Mus musculus: one gene and its partner. The protein of the gene in region 1 purifies or fractionates together with the protein of each later gene. This does not show direct contact. Links are inferred from orthologs where the notes say so. Each region holds a gene or a part of one and is shown on either strand. Other genes may lie near its edges.

Evidence for each region.
Region 2: the proteins of Wdr5 (region 1) and Tcp1 purify together in Homo sapiens (affinity purification with mass spectrometry; 3 studies listed by BioGRID and IntAct, with this or other methods). This does not show direct contact. The link is inferred for Mus musculus from reciprocal best matches to the Homo sapiens genes WDR5 and TCP1.

What each region holds. Positions count from the first base shown.
Region 1 is NC_000068.7:27,513,928-27,518,033, reverse strand, and holds the start of Wdr5 (WD repeat-containing protein 5), read right to left. Parts: upstream 2,888-4,106; 5' UTR 2,754-2,887; intron 2,729-2,753; exon of another isoform or gene 2,282-2,728; intron 1-2,281.
Region 2 is NC_000083.6:12,922,341-12,925,607, reverse strand, and holds the end of Tcp1 (T-complex protein 1 subunit alpha), read right to left. Parts: intron 3,000-3,267; coding exon 2,876-2,999; intron 2,752-2,875; exon of another isoform or gene 2,691-2,751; intron 2,391-2,690; coding exon 2,198-2,390; intron 2,079-2,197; coding exon 1,915-2,078; intron 1,779-1,914; exon of another isoform or gene 1,349-1,778; coding exon 1,132-1,348; 3' UTR 949-1,131; coding exon of another isoform or gene 778-948; 3' UTR 541-777; downstream 1-540. Other genes in the region: Acat3 (acetyl-Coenzyme A acetyltransferase 3), read left to right, coding at 230-340, 778-948. UniProt on the Homo sapiens protein: Component of the chaperonin-containing T-complex (TRiC), a molecular chaperone complex that assists the folding of actin, tubulin and other proteins upon ATP hydrolysis.

The DNA.
Region 1 (4,106 bases):
AGATTCCCAAGAAAAAGAATAAAAAGGGGGGCTGGTGAGATGGCTCAGTGGGTAAGAGCACCTGACTGCTCTTCCAAAGGTCCGAAGTTCAAATCCCAGCAACCATATGGTGGCTCACAACCACCCGTAATGAGATCTGATACCCTCTTCTGGTGCGTCTGAAGACAGCTACGGTGTACTTACATATAATAAATAAATAAATAAATAAATAAATAAAAGAATAAAAAGGAGAAACACGACCACCACATTGAACCCTCCAACAAATCAACTGTCCCAAGCTGGGGATAACTGTCACCCTATCCCAGGGCTGACGCTTCAGACACTCTGTGTGATGGCCTAGGCTTCCCACTGTAGCAGACAGGTGTATACAGGGATGTGAGTTTGCTTCAAAGAGCCCTTGACACAGTATTTAAAAGGCTTTCTAACAGAAACAACAGGCCAAGTAACAGGAGGTAGACTTTCTGTGCACAAGTCTGTGAACTTACCCAAATTCTAAAATACACCCAAATAATTTGACGAAACACAGTGGCCTCACCTCCTCAGTGGCTCCCTGTGACCTCATAAACTGCAACATGCCTTTAACAATACCTAGAGCTTACAGAGCACAGGGACTCAGTGCACAAAGTACTACCGAAAGCGCTCCAAGAATAAAACAGAGTAGTCACTGCCCCCATGTGAAAGAAACCTCTGGGGGAGCAGCACAAACAACAGCAGATAAGCTGCAGGTCTGAGGGAAAGTAGTTATTCCAGTCAGCTGGACAGACTCAGCCTGAACATGTATGCAACTGCAACAGTTTACTGCAGTTTACAGGAGGGCCCATCACCTGCACGCATCCAGAAAAGCACACCACCTGACTGGGAAATGAGCTAGTACTCCTCTAACGGAGAGCTACTGAGACATTCCTCAGCCATCAATGTAAGGAGCAATCATAATGTAAAGTCTGGCTTTGAGGTTAAACCTGAAACCTCACATGGACCCCCACATAAGACTAAGATGAAAGGACACCAAAAGAGAACAATGCCTCAAAGTCTTCAATCCTAGAGGAAAGAACAGGAACACCATGCACCACACAGGTGCAGCCAAGCTGTTTTACCTGCAGCCATCTCCATCAAGGTCAAATCCGCTGTAGCTCAAGCCCAGGTGCAAGGATCAGACTAGGGTAGGTCCCAGGGGCCTCTCCACAAACAAAGCTCTTGTGCCCAGGAAATACCAGCTGCTTGGTGCTTTTAGCTTTTTGGAGACAGGGTCTTGCTATGCACTGGTATTAAAAAACCAGTCTCAAGCTTGGTATGGTTGGTGTAACAGGCATAAATCAACTACCAGGCCTGACCTGGTGCTTATTCTTAATGCAACTATGGCCATGAGTTCCCATAGCAACCACTTTTGTGGACCATACAGGTAGCAACAGGAGCTGAGACTTAAGTAATGAAAAGGGCTAGAAAGTCTCTTTCAACCAGCATCTCATCTCCCTACTCCAGTGAAATGAAAGGCCAACAGTGTAGGGCAGATCTATCTCCAGTGTGGGAAGTCTCTAGGAACTAAGCTTCTTTTAGCATATAAAGAGATTCACCTAACAGCAGGTGGATGACCTTGCCAACAAGCACACCACCACCCAGCCCTGCCCATCACATCGTTAATAAGCTGGGTCTTTCAGGAAGACAAATATTAACATCTGAAGACACTAGTTGTAGCACCACCCACTTTAATTCCAGCTCTAAGGATGAAGAGCTCTAAGGATGTGGGCCCCAAACAACCAACCAAAAAACAAAAACAAAAACGGGGAAGAAAGAAAGAAAGAAAGAAAGAAAGAAAGAAAGAATATCAACATTAGCCAATCTGCCTCACAGCATTCAGGAGGCTCAGGAATTCAAAGCAGTTAAATGTGAGGCTAGCATCAACCTGAAACCGGCTCAAAGGAGACCACCACTTTCCAATTCCACAGGGTAGAGTCCAAGACAGAGCACTCAGGAAAGCAGGACTTGGGGAGGGCAGGTCTGGGAGGAAGCTGGGTTAAGCAGGATCCTCAGCAGGTGGTTTGGAGCTGGCCTCCACTGCCCACAAAGGAGGTAGGTAACCGGCAGCCGCAGCCGGGGCTTTACACTAGAGTGAGCCTGACTATGGAAGGGCAGCAGCCATCAGTCTCCCTCCAGTCAAATGTAGACTCCTGGTTTCCACCCTAGTACACAAGTATGGGAAGACAGAATGGTTCAGTCACTCAGGTGAGTGCAGTAGGTAACCCAACAAAGAACTCCAACCCATCCTCTCTGGGCTCCTAGATACCTAGGTACTAGTAGCCTTGGCTTCACACCACTGTGCGCTCAACTGCCCGGCTGTCCCGGACAATGTTCAGAAACCCTTGACCGGTCAGCCCTAGTCAGGTAGAAACTTGCGCTAGGACACAAATGAGGGTTGTGCCCGCAGCACGAGAGGCGCCAAGTGGCCAAGGAAACCTGCGCGACGCTGGCTGGGTGTCCCCGATGAGACAGAGAATTCCACTCCCAGTGACGCCAGTCTGAGGTGTGAGTCTCGAGAAGCTCGCAGGACTAAGGGTCTAGGGGCGTAGCAGGGGCCGCAGTGGAAGTAGCGGGCCGTGGCGGCCACAAGGGGCGGCGGGGTCGGGGCGCGGCCGCAAATGCGGCGTCCGGCCCGGCCCGAGGCCCTCGGAACACGTGCGGCGCTGTGGAGCCCGGAGCCCGAGGGCCCTCGTGGCCGCCGCTCGCCTCGCGCCCGCGGGACCGGGTTTCTCGCTTACCTGCCGGGGCCGCGGCGGCGGGGCCGGGCGCTCTGGCGTCGCGTCGGCTAGCCCTACGCGCGAGAGCAGACGATCTGCTGGACTAGGCGGCAGCGGCGCGGGAGGCGGGAGGGATTGCGCGTGCGCGAGGGGCGGGACAACGGGCGGCGACGAGGGTCAGAAAAACTAGAGGAGGCGGAGCGCCTTAAAGGGGCCGTCTGTGGTTCTCGCTTCCTATTTGACCGCTACTGGTGTTCGGTAACTGCAGACTGGAGCACTCTAGAATTAAAGATGGGTGAGAACGTGCTTAGGTGCCTCTCCTGTTATTCTAGGCTGTGTAGCCAAGCTAACAGTTACAATTTGCCTGTGCTGGCCCGTGCCTGCCCAGGACTGTTGGGAAACCTCTTGGTGCCACTGGTGGATGTCCACGAGGTCCGGAAGTCCGGAGCTCCTGCGGCCTCCCCAGCCTACCGCAAGGCGGGGGGCTTCCTGCCGCTGCAAACCACAGCTCAAATTGAACATACTTGCCTCTCTTCTACAGGGCCATAAGGAGGCTACGCTGTACCACCACCACCACCCCACACAGACACACTCCGAAAAAGGTCTTAGGAGCTACCGCTGCAGGGAGAGATCTACAGTAGTGTCCAGGGAAGGCAGGGCACTACTGTAGAGAAGGAAGCCTGCACGCTGACAAGAGAGGAGCTACCTGACTTAGAAGACAAACAAGAAAGAATGTGGACAGGAAAGGCAAGTGTCCCTAACACAGGGGCTCCAAGTCCTCCAGCTATGCATGCATCTGGAACGATGCAGTTGCACCTGAATGTAGGCTCAGGCAGTTCACATTCCAGGCAGCCACAGCATCCACTACAATCTGGCTCCTGTGTGGCTCTGGAGCTCCATTTTAAAGGCTTTATCTCATTTTCACAAGACAGCCCCTAGCAGGCTGGCCGGCCTGCAGTTAGCAAAGTTTTGACAGCCCTCTTTCCTGTTGGACCACCTCTACTCCTGTCACTAACGGGGAAAACACCCAGAGAGGAGGACACAGGGACAGAAGGAGAACCTGGAGCCAGGTCTGCACCTCTCACTTCACTGTCTAACTCACATGGTCTTAGACTCTTGGAGGTGGCTATGACCTGTGCAGCCTCATCTTCCAGTCTGGGAATATCAAATATAACGCGTGGGGAACCTGTGCAGAGGGAGGGACTAAGCAACTGAAGCTTGAGAATGGAGAGTGTGTGGTTGCCATAGCTACAAGAGTGTGAGAAGACTGACATTGGCCTGGAATCTCCTGCTAAAGGCACAGAAACAGTTCAGACGAATCTGTGTGTCTAACAGACCTATGCCAGGAGCCCTGGATGGAGTGGAGCATGGGAT
Region 2 (3,267 bases), on another chromosome or scaffold:
AATCCCAGCACTTGGGAGGCAAAGTCAGGCAGATTTATTTCTGAGTTTGAGGCCAGCCTGGTTTACAGAGTGAGTTCCAGAACAGCCAGGACTACACAGAGAAACCCTGTCTTGTAAGAAACCAAAAATAAAAAAATAAGATTCTTCAACCCTTGTTATAGTCAGGGCCCAATCTTGTAGCTGTCAATTACTAATGGTTTAATTAAAGTTCCTTTTGTTTTTTTTGTAGGTTGCAAAGGCAGGCTGGTCCTTGGAGGATGTTGACCTGTTTGAAATCAATGAAGCCTATGCAGCTCTCTCTGTTGCAATAGCTAAAGAACTTGGACTAAACCCCGAGAAGGTAACCAACATGAAGTTGTGTTTGCCAGTGAACTTGCACAATCCATGTTCAAGGCTGCTTCTGCCAGGTGTTGACTTTTCACAGTAAATAACTGAGTGTGTTAGTTCACATCAGAATCAGTGGGACATGCCAGAAACAAAAAAAGACAGCAGGAGCCAGGCAGTGGTGGTGCACGCCTTAAATTCCAGCACTTGGGAGGCAGAGGCAAAGGCAGGCAGATTTATTTCTGAGTTAGAGGCCAGCCTGGTCTACAGAGTGAGTTCCACGAAGGCCAGAGCCACACAGAGAAACCCAGGAGGTGTCACATAGGCCTATTTATTCCTAAGGTTTACAGTGAAAGTTGAGTTTGAAAGGATGGTTTGCTAGCATAACACTGCGGGGAGACATATAAAACAGTCAGTTCACAGAGGACTGACTTAGGCTCTTCTTCTCTATAGGTCAACATCAATGGAGGAGCCATTGCCTTGGGCCATCCTCTGGGAGCATCTGGCTGCAGGATTCTAGTGACCTTGCTGCACACCCTGGAGAGAGTGGGCGGGACCCGTGGTGTTGCAGCCCTGTGCATTGGGGGTGGGATGGGAGTCGCAATGTGTGTTCAGAGAGGGTGAACTGCATGACAGCCACCACCTTGGACAGTTCTTGTTAAATCAGTGCAACACTAAGCAGAAAGGGAAACCAGAGGACCAAACTGAGGACAGGAACCCAGGTGGTCAGCTTGCTGTACTTTAATGTGAGACACCCAAGGCTACGGCATTGCACCTGACACTGTTATAAATAAGAGGGAAATCCAATCAGTCATCAAGGGCTCCAGAGTGAACAGCATTTTCATAACTTCCGTGTTTATCGTCTTTGCTTTCTGGGTGTAATTTTATCAGATCATCAATCCGAAGGATGGTGATTGCAGCCTCTGTTGCGAACTTCAGGCTCTTCACTTTAACTATGGTTGGTTCAAACACCCCTGCTTGCTTGTTGTCTCGTGGTTTCCCATGGACCAAATCAAGACCAATCCTATAAAGGTGAAAACTGGAGTCAGTGACCTAATTAATGTGGTGAGGTATTCCAGCTATTCTAGTCCAAAAGACTGTGGGAGTTACAACAAGCTTGCCTCTGGGAGAAGAATAGCTGACAGTGTAGCAGGGAAACCTCATCTATCGAACACTTAGCAAATAGTGACATGTTGCATACTGTTCTGGTTGGTGTAAATATGCTTTATGAATCTTTATAAACACCAGGGTGTCTACGGATACAATATTCTGAAACTGTATTCACTGTAAGCTGAGAGCTGCCTAAAATGAGAAAGCCCTACCCCAATATCATCCTCTCGGCCCTTTCTATAGACTACCCAAGGAGTCAGAATGGGACCAAGTGTTGCGACACCTAGGGCAGAGCACTAAAACTTATCAGCCACCATTATGTAAAGATGTTATCTCGAAAACGATGCCTGTGATGTTTCAATATGTGACAAGTCCCTTCATATATTTCCCAAACGTGGAGGGAGGGACAAAGGTACTATTATGAACTTACAATAGACCCATGGAAGTTGACAATAGAACACAAGGAAATCATATACTCACCACTTTAGATTTTTACGTTCCGGGTTCACTTGAGCCTCATTGTGAAAAGCTCTTAACTTGGCAACCAGGTCGGTGGAGTCCTGGGCAGCATTCACTGCCAGTGTATTAGGAATCACAAGCAGAGATCTTGCAAACTCTGCAATAGCAAGCTGTTCCCGAGATCCCTAAGGAAGAAACCATGAGGTGTGCCCATGAAAGGAGTCAAAGCCTACAGCGGGCCTGACAGGGTAAAACCCTACGGTGAACCCAACACCGCACCCTATGCCTTTGAAAGCAGCCTTACCATGCTTGTTGCATAGTTTTCCAGGTATATGGACAGGGCAGCTTCTACAGCACCTCCACCTGGGACCACAGATTTCAACTCCAAAACTCTCTTCACCACACAAAGAGCATCATGTAAAGAGCGCTCCATTTCATCACACATGAAATCATTTGCTCCTCGTAAGATGATTGAAGCAGATGTACGAGCCTTAGTACTACAAAAAACAAACGTGAGGCTATTAGCATTTTTGTTAGTGAAAACAGTAACTGCAGACACGTTGATTAAATCCCACTAATAAGATATTTAGACATGCCGGGCATGGTGGCGCATGCCTTTAATCCCAGCACTCTTAACAGAGGCAGAGGCAGGCAGATTTCTGAGTTCAAGGCCAGCCTGGTCTACAACAAAGAGAGTTCCAGGACAGTCAGGGCTACACGGTAAAACCCTGTCTCAAAAAGACAGAAAAAAACCAAACAAACAAAAAGAAAGGTATTTAGGCATAAGGCACCAGGAACAATGTCTAGACCATGTACGAGAGACAAAACACATTTCATCTCCATGTACAATGGCCCAATATTGTTTTATCCCATGCGTATAACCGCTCCTATCACTGACAGACTAGAGCAGCAAATTAATGGGAAAGAATTATTTTTACAACACAATCTGCATTGCTCTGTAACTTACAAAAGCACTTCTTACTTTTTGATTAAGATCAGCTCATCATCACAAATTCTCTCCTGTACGACCTCTTCCGCTTGTCCCAACATCGTCACTTCAAAAGTTTCTTCGCCTTCCAAATTGGCCAGCGTAGACAGGATACTTGCTATAAGAGTCATGTAAGATACATTTTTTTCTCATAGTTTTAGTATATGGAAAAGCAGTGCATTATCTCAAGGTTCCAGACAAGCCACTACCGTAACCCAAGACAATACTGCCACCTTCAAGGTAAAAATACCTTAGTTTACTCATTTCCAATAAATTCAGCATCAAAGAATGTTTTCAACTACCTAGAAAATGGCTCTATAAATCTATTAGAGCACAGCAAAGAGGAAAAATATTTCTAAAATTTAGTGTCAATATTTCACTCCAAC